Linked DNA regions of Nothobranchius furzeri. The protein of the gene in region 2 purifies or fractionates together with the protein of the main gene of each other region. This does not show direct contact. Links are inferred from orthologs where the notes say so. Each region holds a gene or a part of one and is shown on either strand. Other genes may lie near its edges.

The links. Proteins that work in one complex are often made in the same cells at the same time.
Region 1: the proteins of stip1 (region 2) and dnajc7 purify together in Homo sapiens (affinity purification with mass spectrometry; 4 studies listed by BioGRID and IntAct, with this or other methods). This does not show direct contact. The link is inferred for Nothobranchius furzeri from reciprocal best matches to the Homo sapiens genes STIP1 and DNAJC7.
Region 3: the proteins of stip1 (region 2) and dnajb6b purify together in Homo sapiens (affinity purification with mass spectrometry; 3 studies listed by BioGRID and IntAct, with this or other methods). This does not show direct contact. The link is inferred for Nothobranchius furzeri from reciprocal best matches to the Homo sapiens genes STIP1 and DNAJB6.
Region 4: the proteins of stip1 (region 2) and irak1 purify together in Homo sapiens (affinity purification with mass spectrometry; 3 studies listed by BioGRID and IntAct, with this or other methods). This does not show direct contact. The link is inferred for Nothobranchius furzeri from reciprocal best matches to the Homo sapiens genes STIP1 and IRAK1.

Annotation. Positions count from the first base shown.
Region 1 is NC_091745.1:16,067,809-16,072,744, forward strand, and holds the start of dnajc7 (dnaJ homolog subfamily C member 7), read right to left. Parts: upstream 3,558-4,936; 5' UTR 3,496-3,557; coding exon 3,419-3,495; intron 855-3,418; coding exon 766-854; intron 664-765; coding exon 539-663; intron 1-538. Other genes in the region: nkiras2 (NF-kappa-B inhibitor-interacting Ras-like protein 2), read left to right, coding at 4,637-4,730. UniProt on the Homo sapiens protein: Acts as a co-chaperone regulating the molecular chaperones HSP70 and HSP90 in folding of steroid receptors, such as the glucocorticoid receptor and the progesterone receptor.
Region 2 is NC_091750.1:53,228,931-53,233,921, reverse strand, and holds part of stip1 (stress-induced-phosphoprotein 1), read right to left. Parts: intron 3,734-4,991; coding exon 3,524-3,733; intron 3,437-3,523; coding exon 3,295-3,436; intron 2,277-3,294; coding exon 2,132-2,276; intron 1,929-2,131; coding exon 1,763-1,928; intron 1,675-1,762; coding exon 1,548-1,674; intron 1,302-1,547; coding exon 1,199-1,301; intron 1-1,198. UniProt on the Homo sapiens protein: Acts as a co-chaperone for HSP90AA1. Mediates the association of the molecular chaperones HSPA8/HSC70 and HSP90.
Region 3 is NC_091747.1:47,512,076-47,517,059, reverse strand, and holds the start of dnajb6b (dnaJ homolog subfamily B member 6b), read left to right. Parts: upstream 1-1,427; 5' UTR 1,428-1,589; intron 1,590-4,984. UniProt on the Homo sapiens protein: Has a stimulatory effect on the ATPase activity of HSP70 in a dose-dependent and time-dependent manner and hence acts as a co-chaperone of HSP70. Plays an indispensable role in the organization of KRT8/KRT18 filaments.
Region 4 is NC_091755.1:47,789,115-47,794,271, forward strand, and holds the start of irak1 (interleukin-1 receptor-associated kinase 1), read right to left. Parts: upstream 3,558-5,157; 5' UTR 2,669-3,557; coding exon 2,557-2,668; intron 1,704-2,556; coding exon 1,536-1,703; intron 1,074-1,535; coding exon 972-1,073; intron 1-971.

The sequences.
Region 1 (4,936 bases), on a different chromosome or scaffold from region 2:
TGTAGTCCCAAGTCTAAATCAGCTGCAAATCCTTTGTGGTATTATTTTTATTTGCAGTCAGTATGATTATTGAGGTTCACACCAAAGGCTAGCTGTTACCATTAACTCATTTATGCTAAGCTAAAGCTAACAGAATACCCACAGATTAGGTGAGTGTCTGGGCTGATTAAAAACTACTTTTTCTCCATTGATTCAACTCTGGAGAAGATGGCAACAGATGAAATGTATTTTAAGGAACGGCATCCCTTAGTCTGAACGCATCAAACATCTTTTACATTGGTGGGATTTAGCATAACATTTATGCTCATAAATACCCACTGAAATAAATGAAAGCTGAAGGTGGTGCAAAAGGGTTAGAAAGTGAAGCTACACAAACTCTTTAAGATGACAGAAAAACATTTTTGTCGGATGCTTGAACTAGCCATTAGCTCACCAGTCTAAGCCAGTCAGGAAGCCATCCACATCTCTCCATACCCACTGCAGAATCACATTTGAACTCAACAAAAACTCAGACAGTAACTTCTTATGCACACCATACCTTCACAAAGGCGTTATCTAGTCGTACTGCTTGCTGGGAGTCCTCTAAAGCCTCTCTGAACCGACACAGCATCATTAGTGTGGCTGCCCGGTTTCCATAGTAACTTGCATTCTTCGGACACAGATCTGACAAAAAAAAGATTTTGTTTTTGAGTACATGTTTCTCACGTAGAAAACCCCACCAACGATAGACGATGGATGAAAGAATCTTATAAAACAAATGTTTACCGATAGCCTTGGAGTAATAACTGAATGCCTCTGTGTAATCCTTCTGGATATAAAAGACATTGCCTTGCTCTTTAAAGCCCTCCGCTTCCCTGTGGAGAGAAGGCAGAGAAACAGAAAAATCAGAGCAAAATGAGATCAGGTCAGTAATGATTTTTTGCCAAGAATTAGGTCAACGAGTAGTCATCTCAAAGCACATGCCATGTATTTCCATTGGGGTTAAAGGCTGTAAAGCCATCCATTCAGCTCCCTAAACCACTTGTTCACAGTGAGGCTGATAGTTCCTGATTTTATTCCGAAACTTGAAATTTTCTTGAAGCATTTGTGCCATTTAGTTTGGAGAAGGGCTGGGTGACATGGCCTAAATGTATTGAGCAGTTTGCCTTGATGACCATAACTGGATGATAACTGCCAGTACAGCAACAGTTGACTGTTCCCTTTAACAACATTTTGGATTTGCTCGCTGTCACCAGCTTCTGCTGTCCACTACCTGCTGCCCTTGCCCACAGCTCCAACATTTGAGTCATCTGTGTCCTCACCATCTCCCTTCAGGTTACAGACCAAATGTTGTGGGGTCACGTGACTTTGTGTAGGTTGTTGCCAACCTACACACATCTTTTCATTGTTTATTATCAAATTTATTGACATGGGAATAATTCTCGATAAGAGTGAGACATTTCGATAACGATACATTTTCGATTTATTGCCCAGCTCTACATATTACCACCCAATAACCTGAGAAAGAGAATTGGAAGAAACCCTGAAATGAAATATAAAATGACTGGTACTATGAGCAACTTGCTTTTAATGGATTCATCTATAGCAGAGGAACTTATTTAGCTAATTTGCAACAAATATGATAAATAAACTGAAAGAGTTCCATAGTTTTTGAAATTTTTTTGTATGGAACAACACAATATATTGTTTTTGCAAAACACTTAATAAGTAGCATGACTTCTAAGTTTAAGAGTCAAGCCAATTTTACAGCCAACAATTTACCCATAACGTTTGCAGATCTCTACAGAAAATGTTTAACTGATCTAAAACCACAAACAAGAGTTGTTTAAAACTCCATTTTTACACTCTTAAGCAAGAGTGTTGATTAGTTCCTAACCACACCTCTACTGCAGTTTGTGAATGGCGTAATGTTGTCCTTGTAGACCAGGTTGTTGATGAAGACACACTTTGTGTTAATCTCGATGCTTTTACTAATGTGAGACCTAGCAAGAACACGGATGAATTAAATCATTATAAAATGGAATAGGTTAAGAATAGTTCAAAACATTTGTCTTTAACCACATTGTTTGGCTTTTATACTGATCTAATGGTAACTAGAACCAAACCCTCACTGACCAACTAAATGGCAGACTTGTCAGCATCTTTTAGAAAACTTGATCAAATTCAGCAGCGGGTCTCAATCCTGGTCCTGGAGGAGCTTTAGGTTTAACCCTCTTTAAACACACCTCATTTCAAACAGCAGGTAATTAAAAGGCTTCTGCAGAGCTTGATGACCTGCTACACAGGTGATTTGACCACTGAATCAAGTGTGTTGGAGCAAAGAAACAACAAAAACATGCTGGATACCGGCCGCCCAGGACCAGGATTGAGAACCACTGAAATACAGTGAACACTACTAAAGCAGAGGCAATCTAGATTCTGCTAAAGCAATCAACTTATCAGATTCAGGGAGTTTGACTCCATGTTATACGAGATGTTTTAGATGGCTCAAAAATACACAAATTTTCTGATCTTCACTACACTAAAATTAACAAAAATGTTAATTCCTCTTTGATAAAACATTGTGTTTTATGATTTGTTGAGGGGATGCAAATAAAGACATAACAGAACATTTTTTACATTAAAAAAATAAATAAACTCCTCCCAGTACTTCTAACTTGTTTATTTTTGCCCATTTCTCAAAGTTTGGACGCCACTGATTTGACTGTCCTGAAATACTAAACTAAATATTTTTCAACAACCACTAGACTTTAAACTTTAGATTAGCTCCTATACAATACACCAGTTATGCTTTAATGACTCACCCTCTGAAACCTAAAATTGACTAGAATATCTTCTTTGCAATAAACTTGCTTTGATACATCTGGATGGTAACTAGAGGCTTGCTGAAATACTCCTAACCAATGCAGAACATCTGTGATTATAAGGGACAGTGCCTATGATGCATTCCAGAATTTTCCGGTCTGCGTTAGCTAAACATAGAAAGAGTCTAAACAGCAGCCAACCCGTAGCTATTTTGTGAAGCAGGCAAGGCGAGCAGAGCCAGGAACATATGACACCATGCTCCGTGCAACTGCCATGACTTTATTTGGATGGCTTAAAGCTTAACATCACGACCACACAGTCAGAGAACAGTGTCATTCTACAAAATCAGAAAATACGGCAGTGGTGCAAAGGCCCAAACAACGCTAATGCTATGAAACTAAAAACAAATTCAGATCCTCGTTTAAATCCGGCAGAGAAGTTAGAGAAGGGGAACAAGGCTATCGAACGTTAGCTTACAGTTAGCAATAGCGCTAGTTAGCATTTAAGTGCGACAAGAAAACTCCGATGACAAGGCAGTTAAAACACACGTTGGACTAACAAGTTATTTGTGTATCCGATAACCATTGACAACAAGGCATTGCCATTTTCAAACCTTTCTATATCCTCGTCAGTGATGAGCAGCTCCATGTCAGGCTCCGCGTTCGAAGAATCACAGCTGTCTGTCGCCATTTTACCGTCAATGAGAATGGGCGGGGTTTCATACTGCGGTGTTACGTACGCTGTAAACAGGAAGTCACAGTTTTGCAAGAAAACGTCATTACGTACACTGTAAACAGGAACTAGCCCGCTAGGTAAGAAAGCAGTCTGTCAGTAATGTTAAATAATACTACAAACCATTAACTTTTGCCAAGAACGAAGCTAGTCAGTGTATGTTTGACGACATGTACTAAGTGTTGTCAGGTTTGGCTTACGTCCATTGCGTACACGGTGACATTGTAGTTGCGTATCTTATGAAAGCTAATGCTAGGCTAAAAGCCCACAAAGAAAAGCAACTATGTTCATTCTAAAATTATTTACTCAATTTTGACATTAATAGTTAATAAAAACAAAAGAGTTTTATTTAGCCAACGCAATGGAAAGGCTAGGAGATGGAAAGGCAGAGAGCTAGCAGGATGTTTTTCTCATTTTGTGACTCAGCTGTGTCTGGTTTTGTTCGTTACACCTTGGAAGCATTTTATGTTTGATTTGGGTCGACTATGTTGCATTTGGGGAATGCTGGATCCTGTCAGTCTGCTGTTCATTTTCACTTGCTTTTTTATTTTTATTTAATTTTTATGTATTTTTACACTCATTAAAAGACTTGCTGTTGAAATAAAAGAAAACAAACAGGAACACCTCTATGGCTAATATATCAGCACTTCTGCAGAAACGTCGTTTGGAGCCTCCAATAAGGAGGAGGTCAAAATTATTCAGGAAGTGTCCCAATTGAAAACAATATCTGACCTCTTTGCTTTATTCATGTTATGAAACAATTATCATTGAGCAAAGGTATTGAAAATAAACACTAATTGTTCTTTAATCAACATTCTGACAAAACCGCCTTAGTGTTTACGGTCTTCAGACATGGGAAAGAGTTTTTACAACTCCGTTGTTCACAGATGCCAGATCACTGCATGACACTGATGCTGTTAATACTTATAATGTTTATAAAATAAATTAAAATCACACTGCGACTGATAATAAATTTATTCATGTCATTTATGACATTTACTCTTTTCTCTACAGTTTTAATGTTAACTGGCTCAGCAGGGTTTAATCTGTTTGTTTTATTCCTTCAACAGATTTTCCTACTAGGGACTAGGACGTCATCATGGGAAAAAGCTGTAAAGTAGTTGTGTGTGGTCAGGCTGGAGTTGGTAAAACAGCTGTACTGGAACAGCTGCTCTATGCCAATCATGTTGCAGGTATGTCACCAGGCTTCTGTAAAAACTGAACAAAGATGATCAAAATTGTCTGAGAAAAAGCTGTTTCTGCGTCATTTCATACAATAATATGCTTCTGCAACAGACTACAGCTCAGAAAATAGCACTCATTGATACAGACTGGTTGAAAAGAGGAAAAATATTCAGTATGGCAGGCTGTCTCTGTCTGTGAAATAATGTAATAAAGC
Region 2 (4,991 bases):
GACTTCAGCAGGTCTCCGAGCGTTTATTTATTTATTTTTGCCGCTGGTGGCAGCTCCGTCTCGGCCAAGGACTCTGGCTGCGCAGCAGCTGATGTACTGAAAACCAAAGTGCTCCCACAGGAGCGAAGTAACGTTTCGTTTTGATACCAGTGCAGCCATCCTTCTCAACATGCATCATTGAGTTGAACCAAGTTCAGTAATCGCGCCGTGGCGCATGATGCAGCGCGGTGGGCTTCTTCATATCGCGATATTTCATTTTTGCGGTTACCGCGACAGCCCTAGTGTCCAGTATGATGCTCAGGTGTTCTGGTGGAAATCTTTTCTTGACTGATTCAGCTACCTCTGCGATGTGCATAATTAAAATGTCAGCGTACCTGCAGCCTTGAGGTTTCTACATCAAAATAAACGGACAACTACAGGAAATATCCGGTCAATGCAAACTCTGTCATTTAACGGTTTCACCTTCTTCTGAAGACTGTTGCAAAGAGAAACATAACACCAGAGCCATGCGCACTGCACCATTATCGCCATCACTGTAAATTTGGGAAAAAGTGAATTGATCGGATCCTTTTACTTTTTCAACATTGTTTAATGTTTTGTTCAGTACGGTTTAATTACAGCAATCCCAACGAGAGAGCCTGGATTTGTATTCTGAACAGCTTAAACACGCTTTAAAAGGAGACACGTGTGACGCGTTAAAAAGCGTCACCTGCCCAGGCCCGGTAGGCGCACCCAAAACGCCGCGACTGCTGTGGCTCCCAGTGTTTTCTTTACTGTGGGAAACGGGTAATAATGGCTGTTTGATGGGAACAGGTTGCCGGCCCCTGCACTAGACAGTCTGATCTAGTAGCCAAGTAAATGGCTCATAAAGATTATCCGCCATCACCAAAAAGTAAAAGATTTTCAGTGTTAATTATTTATCTGATGCATAAAAACACCATGGTTAGGCACAAAGGAAAAACAGATGTATCTTCCATTATTATTATTACTATTATTATTATTATTATTATTATATGCGCTGGTGGGTGTTCTGCCAGTTGAAAACAATTTTGCAAATAACAAAACAAGACTTCAATATTTCAAATGCTTGAGTTTCTGTAAATCTATAGTCCAGGTCTGGACACTTTGGGTTTTTGGTTTTAGAAAGACAAATGGTTCTTCAGGAACCAGAAAAAATAAAGTCCTTTAGAAAACTCACTTTGCGATTTGTCTGTAATCTTCTCGGTTCTCTCTGCCAACATCAATGGCCTTCTCACAAAACTCTCTGCATCTCTCAAAGTCGCCCATCTCGAAATACACAGCTAAAACAAGAGCAACACATTCACATTCAGTTATATTACCAAGAGATCAGCAAGTGTCCTACAAGCATGCAGGATGTTTATGTTGGAAAAAAAGTTTGTTTGTAGCAGCAGAATGCTTGTAAACATAAAAAATAATAAAGCATAAACACTTACTAAAATATAGAATTCATCTACAATTAGAATTTTTTTCAAACGAGCCCAAATGTGTGTGGCTTGTTTAGTTCACCAACATGAGTGGGAACGAACCTGCTTGGTTGGATAAATACGTCATATTGGTGGGGTCGTGCTTAACGGCCTCTTCATAATATTTCAATGCTGCTTCAAAATCCTTATTCTTGTATGCAGCATTTCCGAGTTCTTTCTCCTTCAGAGCCTGTCAAAATTACAAATATGCATCATCTTAAAAACAAACATAATTCAACACCAGATTGATGTAATGTTTAGATTTTTAGCCACTTTACCATCCTCTTGTTCTCAGGGAGGTCCTCCTCTTTTGGAGGTGGTGGAGGAGTTTCTTTGGGTTTGGGAGGAGGTGGAGGTGTGGGCTCCTCTTCCTCCTCCATCTCAGAAAGGTTCAGGCCCAGGAGCACAGACAGAGTAGTCATCACTCTTGGATCCTGCAGCTTCCTACAAAGCCAGAGACAAATAAGAGAATGTTAAATAGCACAGTATTCTAATATTCGTCAAAGTAAATCGCCACACACTGGACCATCTTTCAAATAAGAAGATAAATTTTACAAATTTCCACGACTGGTTTTATTTGATTTTTCAGTTTTATTATACAAATGGTTAGGATAAATAAATAAAAAACAACGAATAAAAGCACATACGCTCCGAGTTCTGATGGTTTATTCCTAAGCTGCTCCAGTAGCTCTTTGTAGCTGGGATCTGTCAGGAGCTCACGAGTCCGAGGATCGTTCTCCAGCTTCTGATACAGGTTGGGCGATGCAAAAGGGTTCATCATCGATTTCTCTGCTGAAGGACGAGCAACTTTTTGTTAGCAATCACAAATGAGACTTCAGAATGCATGCACGCATGTGTGCAAGCCATGGGGTGAGGTACACATGAGGTTTGGACCTCGTTATGAAAGAAATTTTAAGGACTGGTCCTATTGGGTTTTTCATTGATTACCCCTGATCTAGGTACTGTGGAGGAAAATAAAGAAACCAGCAAAGACAGAAACCATAGTAAACAGCAGAAACGTTCCACAGTCTGGGATCAAGAGTTTAACTTCAGGCAGATTAGCTAATGCTAAGCTAGCACGTAGCACGCTCATGATCAAGTGGAGTTCAGAAAAAGATGCTTGTGAATGACTAAACTCTACAAGCGGAAGAAAAATTCCCACCATCCCGCTTATGTGTGGATGTCTGCAGTGGTATGGAGCAGAACCGCTGCAGCTGCTACCTGGAGGCAGGTTGTTGCTACTGAGTCAGCAACTCAAGTCTGTGCCACACACACGCAGATCAATATCAAACCATTGTAGCATGTAATTCACAAAGCTTCTACATTTGAATACAATTTTAACTGGATTATGTTGCCAGCTCGTACATAATAAAATGCATATGCCAACATTACATTATTACTAATAGAAATTAAAAATAAATGGTAGTAGCATTTCCAGTGGCATACTACTGAACATATTATTGAAATAACTAAATTCTATTGATCATATGTGATTTTATTTGGATATGTTTAGACAAGGATGGGTGATATTAAAACAAACATTTTAATGAAATATAAGTCAGAGTTTGTTCCATAAAGTATAACCTATCAGCTGTGAAGGAGGAAACTAGACGACAAATTGAATACGTTTTTGATCCCTTTATATAATTTTGTGGTTTAATTATATTTTTAGCAGCATACCATAATCCTGTGAAATGTCGTCAAATAGAATATTCGATTAATCAATGGAGGATTCAATAGAATATTCAAATACTAAAATATTCTATAGCTGCAGCCCTAGATAATAGACTCTAAAACCAAACGCTTGTACCTGTAAGTTTGGCCTGGATGTTCTGTAAACCCTCCTTTAGCTGCTGATTACTCGGCTCGTGGCGAAGTCCCTCCTGGTACGTTGTTCTGGCATCTTCCAATCGTCCAAGAAATTCCAAGGCTGCAGCTTTCCGAGAATAGCCCTAGGTGAATAAATTTGTTCGATTTCAGATGCTGTTTAGTTTTTATTCTAACACATCAGACAGAATTATGACAGAAGGATGCCTGACCTTGGCCCAGTCGGGTTTGATCTTGATGGTCTGACAGGCATCTTGGAGAGCGTTCTCATAACTGCCCTTTTTGGCGTAGGCAGCTGAGCGGTTACTGAACAGCACATGGTTTGATGGATCGACGGTCAAAGCTTCAGTGTAGCAGCGAATAGCTTCATCAATATTTCCTGCACTCAGTGCCTTGTTGCCCTGGTCTTTCAATGCTGACACCTACAAAACATACAAACACTTTTACAAAACCTCCCCTTTAAATGTTTATGTGTGGAATCCCCAGCGGAAATCCCAACTAAAGAGAACATCAACAGCTGTTACTGGCAGACAATAAAAAAAGGAAACTGACCCCAACAGGTCCAAAAGCAATGGAGAAAGAACACTGAACAGCTTTATCATCATTAAAGTTTCACCTTATGTGACAAAACTTTGCTTTTAATGAGCTTTACTTTGCATCAATAAAATACAAATTCTAGATTTACATATTAACTAGGGCTGGGGGTAAACGATTATTTTTAAAACGATTATTCTGACGATTATTTTATCGAATAGTCGACTATTCTAATGACTATTTAGAAAATTAATGTAATGATTATTTTTCTATTGCACAATTAACAAAAACCAGAAAATCTCAAATAAATTCCTCAAAAAAATTGATAAATTCTTACTGTAAGAGAAGAAACACTACAGGCCTTCCATTTTGTATAACGCTGCTTTTATTGTGTTGGTTGGTTATGTTCTGGTGACATGTAGAACTTGGGAGTGCAGGCTGCTGCCTGAGAGGTGGTAGAAGATGGAGTGTCTCCATGCTGCTTTGTTTTGGTCACTTATGTGCGTGAGGCGAGTGGTGTTACGGGTTAAACCAAACTCAAGGTGATATTTTACACTAAACCGAAAACCCACAACACTCTAAATGTAATAAAAGGGAGATCTACACCACAAAAAAGATGAACTCTAAACCAAAACGTAACAGCTTATCCCAACGCAAGAAGCTGTTAGCGAAGATGCTAACAGTAGCTTTACCAACGCTAAGTTCAAGTTACCAAGTTTAAATAAACCAAAAACACCCAGCAGCAAACAGACCAGCACGGAGGAGAGACTGCTACCACCAAAACAGCTCTCCTAATGTCTGAAAGAAGCTCCTTAATGAAGGGAGAAGCGCTCCCGGTGATGTTCTACATCTGCGGTAGAGACGAAGCAGCGCATCTGACCCCGGAAGTTGTTGTCCGTTGCCGGGAGACGAAGGCGGGCAAAACAGGAAAATAATCTAGTAGTGGACGGACGTTGTTCCGGGTCTTCGGTATTTGGCGGAGATGTTAGTGAAGGCGGAGAAGAGAGCGAACTAGAGGAAAAACAGGCAGATTCCTCCTCTATTTACAAACTCCTGGGGATGCAACAAGTGGGCGCGGTGCGTCGACTTCCGGATCTGACGTCGACAAATTTTTAGAATCGAGCCGTCGACGTAGTCGAGGCTTCG
Region 3 (4,984 bases), on a different chromosome or scaffold from region 2:
GATTAGAGAAACTTATTCATGCTTTTGTTTCTAGTCGGCTGGACTATTGCAATGGTCTCCTGACTGGTTTTCCCCAAAAAGCTGTGAAGCAGCTGCAGCTTGTTCAGAATGCTGCTAGAGTCTTAACAAGAACTAAAAGAATGGAGCACATCACTCCTGTTCTTAGATGCCTACACTGGTTACCAGTAAACAACAGAAAAGATTTCAAAGTGCTCCTACTAGTTTATAAATCACTCAATGTCATAGGACCAAAATACATGTCTGATCTCATTCGTGAAATGCCTTGAGACGACTCTTGTCATGATTTGGCGCTATATCAAACTTGAATTGAACTTGAATTTCTGTATACACTCCCAATAGGGCTCTGATATCCTTAGGAAACACCCAGCTGGTAGAACCACGGGTCAGAACAAAACATGATGGAGATATAGTTACTATGCTGCTCACATATGGAATCAGCTTCCCCATGACCTCAGATGTGCCCCAACCCTACTGTTGTTTAAAACAAAAGTAAAAACCCTAATGTACTCATCAGCCTTTAAATGAATTGTTTCCTATGCTGCGTCATCTCCACTGTGATCTGCCCTGTAACTTTGTCTTCTCCTTTAGCTCTAAACTGTAATTCCATTTGTGTGTATTTTAATTTGTGTTTTCATGTCATGCCTTGTTAATTGTAAAGCACATTGAACTGCCTCTGTGTTTGAAATGTGCTCAATAAATTAAGCTGCCTTGCCTAGAATCTTCCGGTGCGTGTCCGTGATATAGCAACAATTGCTCAACGTGGACTCATTTAGAAGAACTGCAGTACCCAAATTTGATCACAGGATGTTGAAGAAATCTGTAAGTGGCAAAATACCCTTTTAGAACACTGTGGGTGACTTAGAAAAAAACAACAACAACCATATAGCAGAAAAATCAACCAAAGCTTCACAGTGGTGGCTTTCAACTCCTTTCACCAATAGTAATGTTATTACTTCAGCAGACGACAGAGGGCGCACAAGGCAAGTTTGTGTCACCTAAACATTTTGAGACAAAGGTTGTTGTCCTCAAACAAAACTAATCTTTTATCAACGTCATTTGAATAGCTTGATATTGCATTTACACTTTACATCAACGGGATTTACACAATTAGCTGCCCTCTACCGGGGCAGGTTCGGTGAAAACAGACAAAAACGCTGATTTCCACGTTGAAAGACGTGCTACCTTGATAGACCCTCGTAAGAACAAAGATTAGAAAACAATAAATAACAGTTTCTGACACGTGGTTCGACTATTCATAGTCTTATTTGCATGTTATTTGTATCCATAATCTTAAAAAAGAAGATATTTAAACAATCTACAAAAAGAAACGGGAACATATAAATAAAAATAATAATAATAAAAACCCGCAAGTGTCATGGTGCATGATGTGATTTCCTACTGCACGTGAATGCAGCATTCCTAGTAGTGGGCAAGGCCAGATATATCTTTCAGCTCCACCATCAATAACCAGCCACCTCTACTTACAGACACAGTTTGTACTCTTAAACGGAAATAGTTTGAACCACATCAACAGAGAGGCTATTGGGGTGGATATTGCCTTTATTCTGGTAAGCATTTCTTGATTTAGACGAAAGTCAACACAGTACGAGGGTTCAGTAAAAAGCGGTGAAAGCCTCTTCTGCCGCATAGTCTCATGCTGGGGGTGCTGTGCGGCTCTGCTATGTGCTAATCGTCGACGGTAATGTTTCATAATTCATAAGACGTTTAATATAAGTTAAAGTCGTGCTGATTATTAATCCGCCCGTGATCGCGTGTTAGTGATATTCAGATGTACCGGCTAATGGTAAGCTAATCTAGCTATTCGTGGTAGCTGCCAACCAGAGAATAAGGCAGTGCTACAGTTAGCCTCATTTTAAAACGACTTTTTAAACAGTATCCCATAATAATGTTTTTGTGCTCGTCAGGATAATCATTTTTATTTAGCGTCATAGTGTCGTAAGGAATTGTGTACTGCTAACGTTAGCTGAATTTTGTTTTGTACAACAGTACAATTTTTCCAAGTTTTCGATAGTTTATTGGTAGATTCATTTTTGAAGTGTTTTGTTCCTAAACTGCGAAATAAACTGAGTTTCTGGAAGTTTTTCCAAATCCTGAGAAGTTTACACAAGTTGCCACATCACTTAGCAGCGTGATTGGACCTTTAACTTCCCAAATTTAGCATAAACACGCGAATGGCAACAAAATGTTTAAAAGTAATTTTGTTTATTAGAAATAAAGATTTTTTAAAATTAGATAATGATGTTTTGAGTGTCAAATGGAACGGCTATATTCTGAAAAATGTTTCCCCAGTGTTGTTTTATATCAATTTGAATGCCCATCAAAAAAAACTACAGTGTTTAAAAAAACCTACACTGTTTTAAACTGCGTTATTCTTATACAGATGAGCTCACATCTAATTAGAATTTGTTTTATTTTTGCTGATTAATACAAAAAAGTAATTTTATGTGGATGTCAAAGTTTTATCTTAAAAAGCTGAGAAACAATTTATTTATTTTTGAAAATGATCGCTTTAACAAACAGGCTGAACTTGAAAATGGTCTTCTACCTCTATTTCCTGCATTATATTTTGATGGAAAATAAACGAAAGAATGCTCAGTTCAGAAAAACCTGACAGATCTATGTCATGCTGTTACTTAACATGAATGGACCCACCCATCTTGGCTCACGAAGAGGAAGGCTGTTGTTGGTTTAGCATCTAGGAAACAGCAGAGAATATTCAGCTAGTAGAAGCTATCACTGGCATTTCCACAGCATAGCAAAACTCTTCCAGGCTTATTTGTGGAGATCAAATCAATCATCAATGTTGCAAAGCAATCAGAGTCAATGGTAGAGTTGCACTGCTGTTGGCCAATCAGAGAACAAATGTCCAAATATCAGGAAATAAGACTCCAAATCCTGTTGTCTGAAGCTACTTTCTCCACTGGCTAACTTCTAAGTCCTCACACAGATGCACTATAGCTTTTTTTGCTCCAGGGAACAACTTACAAGGCACCCATTTCTACTAGGATTCCCTACAAATGTATTAAAAATATGAGTAAAGTTGACCTTTAAAATTTCAGTAAACATTGGTTTCAGATAAAAGTGCTTAATGTTGATTTTCTTTCGGGATTATCACAGTTATCACAAGATACCAGAAGCCATGAATGTTCTGGAGTCAGCAACGTTCTGTGAAAATAACTGGATTATTTTTTCTTTTCTGTGTAAAAGTTATACATGTTTACTATTTTACCCTTTCTAGGTAGCTTCCGTGGCGGCCTTGATTTGCAGGACTAATTAGACTTCATTCACGATGCATAACGTAATTATTTGCATGGAATTTCCGTCAAAGATTTATAAATGGTGTTTGCATGAACCTCTATAACATTTTGTAGCTGTTTAAGGATGGCAGCAAAACTCTTGAGTCTCTGCTTGCTTGTTGTCCAGGAAACTTTCTACAGTGGATAATACAATTATTTATAACTTTGAAACACAGTTTAGGATTCCCCACTCAAAAATAAACCTTTTAAGGTACTTTCAGATCAGCTTCCTGTCTTACGGAGTAGGTCTTTTTCCATTATTCATACAGTCTGTGGTTAAAATCAAGACTTCATAAACTAGTCCTGAGTTTGACTGCTTGATGAGACACTATACGCTTTTACTGTTTAGAGATGAATTTGTACCTTTTAGTTTGTTCCTGCACATGAAATGTTTATTTATTGTTTATTTATTGCTATTGTAGTTGTAACTTTTCCACATACTGATTATTTTCTTCAAGGCATCTTATATTCAAATCCACCTAAACGGGCTCCTGTTCATGAGCCCATTCTGTAAATTCTCTTGTTGCTGTAAATCATGTCAGGTGAGGGAACCTGCTTGTTATTGCATCGTTCTAAGCCACTAGTCGTTTTTCTTCCTTCACTTATGATTTATGTTAAGACCTTGCTGCTCCTAGTCTGTTTGTCCACTACTCTGGTCTTGTTAACATCAGGGTCTGATGTTCTCTTGCTCTTGACAAATCTCTTCTAGCTGTCCTATTACATTGTAATCATGGAGTTGGTAAAAGAAAAGAAAATAGGCACGGGATCTTGCAAAATTGCAAAGTAAATCACATGTATAGAACTTGGGTGAGGCTTTTTACTTTTTCAACAATTTTTTCAACTTTCACATCGTTAAAAAATGGACTTTTGATTTGGTCATGGTTATGTAAGGGAACCCCTTCAAGGGAAAATCATTTTGCACACCAGCAAAGCACAGCTGCTAAAAAAGAACATATGTTGTTTTAATCTCTTGCTGCTCAACTTGCCTGGATGGGTTAGCTTGTGTGGATTCTCATTGTTTTTGTGTGAAACAAAGAACATTAAATTTGAGGCTTTGGTGTGATCCTTTAGCCCTAAAGTGCAGAATCCCTTAAATCTGACTTCAACACACTGCTCTGAAAAATTGAAACTGTCAGCGCAAATGTAATCAACTGTAACTTTGCTCTGGCGAGATAAAGAAATGAATCAATGAGAGAGTGATTAGTTTTGGTTTAGACTGATTAAGCATAAAATTAATCTTCGTAGTGCCAATGCTCCATTTCTTTAGTCAATGTATATAGTGCTTTAAGACAATAGAAGTTGACAAAGTGCTTTATAGTTAAATCAAACAAAGATGAAAACAGCAGTAACAGCTATAAAACAGAAGAGGTAATAAAAGTAAGTAAAAAACCAACCATGTGCTGCTTTGTTTGTCAAACTTTGACCTTATTATGGTGTAGATTCTTGTTCCATTCAGATTGTAACTTAGACTATTACCATTTGCCTCTTTTGTGCCATCTTTAAAGATACTTTTAGAGAGCAAATCACAACCCAGTGGGTTGAATACTCTTAACACTGTGTGGCTAAGATCAGTACTGACAGATGTCCTATTAGATACAAGCACTGACTTACAGGTTCAAGTATTGAACAATGACTGTAGCACAAAT
Region 4 (5,157 bases), on a different chromosome or scaffold from region 2:
ACATACCTGCAAACCCAGAAGGTGTGAAAAAGGTGACATCTTAAACCAACCCTACCAAGCCCTAGGTATGATGCCTCCTAGACTCTTAAAAGAAGCTTTTACTTCACTTGGTCCCCGGGTTTTCCTGAAGCCTTTCCTGAAGAAGCCTGGCCTCGTCCAGGTACCGACCTATCTCCAGACTTCCTTTTATTTCTAATCTTCCGGAGAAGGTCATGTCTCAGAGGATGACATTCTAGAAACACTCCAGTCTGGTTTTAAGCCAGTCCACAAAGTTTGATCTATCCCTCTGCTGAGTTCTTACTTCCTGTCGTGGTTACCAGGGTTGGTCTTGCTGCGGACCGATGTGTGAATGTCAGCTGCATCATTAATAAGCACTGTTTAAAACCACAGCGAACGCCCTTTGCACGGCTGAGTGGCATCTCTATTTCAGTTGGTGTTTGGAAGCAGCACTGCTAACAGGAGTTTCACACGATTTACAAACATCAGCGCCGGTCGAGCAGCCAGAGGGACCTGGTGCTGAGAAGGCACAGACTATGGTTTAGTACTGGAATCCGTCTGATGGTAAAAATGGTAAATGACCTGTATTTGATGTAGCACCTTCTAGAGTCCTGGAACCCCCCAAGGCGCTTTACAACACAATCAGTCATTCACCCATTCACACACACATTCACACACTGGTGGGGATGAGCTACGATGTAGCCACAGCTGCCCTGGGGCGCACTGACAGAGGCGAGGCTGCCGAGCACTGGCGCCGCCGGTCCCTCTGACCACCACCAGCAGGCAACGTGGGTTAAGTGTCTTGCCCAAGGGCACAACGACAGCGACAGACTGAGCGGGGCTCGAACCTGCAACCTTCCGATTACGGGGCGAGCACTTAACTCCTGTGCCACCGTCGCCCCAATGATGATGATGATGGAAAACAGATGGAGAACAGCTGATCAGAGCAATGGGCAGGCTTGTTTTGGGTCTACCTGTGGGCTGCTCATACGGTGGAGGAGAAGGGAGACGAGGAGGAGGTGGCGGAGGAGGAAGAGGAGGAGGAGCAAAGGAGGAAGGATTCATCGCCTGAGTCCCTGCAGACATAAGAAGGGGTGAACATTCTTCTAATATGGAGCCTAAGTCACGTCCATCTACTTCCGGACCATGGGAGGAACGAAAAAATGAATGCACGTTATGCTAATTACGACCTTCCCCTCTGTGTTGGACAAGCCCAGTCACTGACTCGGTTCGAGTCGCTGCTGACATCCTTCTTTCTACCACCGTACAGCACTTTGGTCAGCTGCTGCACGGCGCTTTAAACGTGCTTTATGAATAAACCTGGTGCGGTACGATCGACCTCCACGTACGTGACAGGCGTGGTCGAAACACACTTCATTGCTTTTCATTTAAATTGCAGGACAACGTGTGCGATCCAGGGCGTGAGGCAAAGCGACTTGCATTCATTTTTTGGTTCTTTCGGAGACCCGTGAGCCGACCGGAGAGGGAGGAGACTTGGGCTCCCTGTATATAGGGTCAGAGGTCAGAGGTGTACTTACAGGTCAAGATGACATCTCGTGGCCTAAAAAGCTGCAGCGACTCTAACAAGTCAATCAGCTCTCCAACTCGACCGTTCCTGCATCCCCATTGGTTCATCACCCAGTCGGTCCGCTGGGCCTGCCTCTCAGCCAGTCGCACAGCCGTCTGGTCTTTCAGCACCTCCGAGGCTGCAGACAGAACGGTAAATGGTCTGTATTTGATATCGCGCCTTCTAGAGTCCTGGAACCCCTCAAGGCGCTTTACAACACAACCAGTCATTCACCCGTTCACACCCTGGTAGGGATGAGCTATGATGTAGCCACAGCTGCCCTGAGGCACACTGACGGAGGCGAGGCTGCCAAGCACAGGCGCCGCCGGTCCCTCCGGCAGGCAGGGGGGTTAAGTGTCTTGCTAAAGGAGCGACAAACTGAGCGGGGCTCAAACCTGCAACCTTCTGCAATCTCCTGTGCCACTGTCACCTCACTCAAGGGAAGGATTTGAGAATGTTGTGGAGCTGCTTCATCCCGAGTGGAGTCTCAGGGGAAAGAATGGAATAAATTCCATTGCCGTCTGGTCAGTTTAAATAAATATGTAAATATTTAGAAGATTTAATTAAATTTACCGCATTAAAAATAAAATTCTGTTAAGACTGCAGCAGAATATTCACGGGGAATGGAAAGCTGTGCAAATGAGACATGAATGAGTGAAAACCCGAAACTGGAAATAAGAAGTAACTAAATGCAGCAGGAATGTTTAACAAGTCACTGGGACAGGTGTGACGTTTGAACCAGGTGAGAGGCGGGGCTACACCTGCTCCACAACGGGCAAAAATCACAGCCAAGCTTCTCCGGGTCAACCCTGGGAGGGGGTGCGTGGGGGTCCTGTTTGTCGCTCCAGGTGTGGGCGGGGCCACATGACAGCAGAACAATCAGCTGAGACACTTCAAAGCAGACCGTCGCCCGCAGCACGTGACTCTGGTCAGGTGTAGATTGATACGGATCCAGGGGACCTGTTTGTCGAGTGTTCTAGAGGGGAACTCACCGAACCGGGTCCAGTCCAAGTCCGACAGTCCGTCCATGACTCGGCAGAACTCCCAGTTGACGGGAGAGGGAAGTTTGAATAGGAACTGTTCTCGTCGGAACCCTCCCGCCATTTTTGCTCGAGAACCGAACTCCTCCACTTTACAGAACCGAGTGGGTCACATCAGAACCAGGTTGAAAAACAACTCTTAACAAACCCGAAAGTTTCTCTTCACCTTGTACTTCCGCTTATTGAGGAAACCAGCCCACTGGAAGGCGACACGCTTCCGGTGGGCCTGACAAAATAAAAGCCCCCCAAGACTTTTTTTTCCTTTACTGGTTGGATGTGTTTTTCAAATGTAAGCCTATTGGTGATAAACAACCCACCATTTATAATTCATTAAATGAATGTTTTTGTTTTTAGATGAGAGTGTAATATCTGGGTTTCTGCTGTAGCTGCTGCTGTCCAGTAGGGGGCAGTGACAGCAGTAGGAAAATACGCTCGTCAATACTAAGCAACTTTTTCATTTTTTTAAACAATTTGTCTTGAAATTAGTCTGTGCTAAAATTACACTTTAAATAAAAAATGGCCCCCTAAGGTGCTTTACAACACAATCAATCATTCAAACATTCACACAAGCACATTTGGGGGGTGGAGGTCAGAACACGGGTTGCTCCACTAGATCAAGATGTTAAAAGCACACAGCAGAACTAGCACCATTCCTGAGTCGATGCCATCTTTGTAGTTTTTCTCCATCATAGCTCTGGTGCTGAGGCCATCCAATAAACATAGAGTGATGTGAATTGCAAGAAGCAAAACTCTTCAGGCCAGTGGTAGATCTGCTGAGGCTGTCATGTAGTGTGGCCAGACCGACCTGCAGAGCCAAGTCTTTTGCCACTACTACCATTAGATCGATTTCTAGGCAAATGCAGGGAAAATGAAAGTGAATATGCCTCTTCAGTAATTTTGTTGAATCCATGTTCTTTTCGCTAACATTTCTTTGAACATGTTTGGTCTGATTTATGAAGATTAAGTGTGAGTGCTTTCACAGATGTGTATATTTCATAATTCTGTTGCCAATCTGAACAAAATATGTGTTGAGATAAATTAAGGGAATAAAACAATCAGGAAAAAGACAAATCACTTGAACTAAATGACTGGAAATGAAACTGCTTTATTGTCTGTCCCAGAGGTGACAGAAGTTCTGCCTCATGAATAACATAGTACAACATAAGCCACGATGGAGAATACGGGCAGCAGGTCCATCAGGACTGTCCAGCTGATGTTATGTCACATGGTGGTCCAAAATACCTTCTAGGTTTCCAAATCACCCTTAATTATGCATGCCCCAACCCTCTTCCGAATCTGCCATTATAAATGTTGGTAGAAGTAATGCTGAACCGCAGAGCTACTGCAAACGCTAACCTGAGCTACAGCTAACGTCCTTGTTGGACAAGAGGAAAACAACAAAGAAGAAGAATGTCAGAGCACACAATGTCCAGGAAGTTCTGGGAATATCCAGACTATGAATAAATGCCAGATAGACCGATAGTTCCCCTATTAAGTTATCTGGATACTGGACACAGAGGATGTTTCTCAATGTCAAGGCGCCTGGCCTTGCGAGGCGATGTCTTGTGAGGCCAGGCGCCTTGCTTACGAGGACACGGTCCTTCCTTGGTCAAAGAAAACGGTTAAATGGAACAGACTTGCATCACGTGACCGTGGCTTCCATGGCGGTCACGTAACGTCACGTGACACGGGAGATGAGGTCATATTTTATATGTATTAGTTTCAATATAAATATATAACGAGATATGTTTATTAAATCAAAAATATAAGTGAGTTACTACCCGCTAGCCACCGAAGCTGCAACTACTAAACAACTAACCAACCATAGATAACTTCTTTGGATCTAAAAAAAAAAAAACATTTTAAATTAGCTGACTTACTTTTAAACTTGAAATTTGCCCCCGAAGTAGCCGCCGGCTTCTGATCCGCCGTCCTTTTGAAAATACCGCGGTGTATTCTGGGTAATGTTTGACCAAGACTAGGCTACAAGACATCTCCCATGTATCCCCGCTCAGCTAGCTAAATGGCTAACAAACGGAACCTCGGTAGAACATGAACATTGGAACACGTCTTGGCGGCTCCCGATGACGTATCTCCTAGGCAACCGGGGCGGGGCCAAGACATCAAGGCAAGGTTCCTTGGCATTGAGAAACACCCAGAGATAGCTTCAGGCAGCGTCAGAGCCATCGGGGTAAGTTGGCCTATCAGCACACAGCTCATTTAATATTCATGTCCTGGCCAAGTGGACGGGGCAAACCAGTCTTTCCATTGTAGGTCTTTATTATTGGGTTGTGTTCGGCCATTCATCAGGGCTCCTGGGCCATTGTGAGCCCCAACAAAGTGTAATTTTCTAAATAGAGGCTTTAAAGAACTGGTTTGAATTTTAGGAGTTCTAGACTAGGATCCCCTTAACAGTTCAACCAACGAGTACTTTTTATTCTTCACTGAGCTCCACAACGCTATCAAATCTGATATCTACTTTAGAGAAAACGTCCACTAAAACACCTGGTTTTTAAACACAAATAAATCTGTATTTATACATTTTACTTGAAT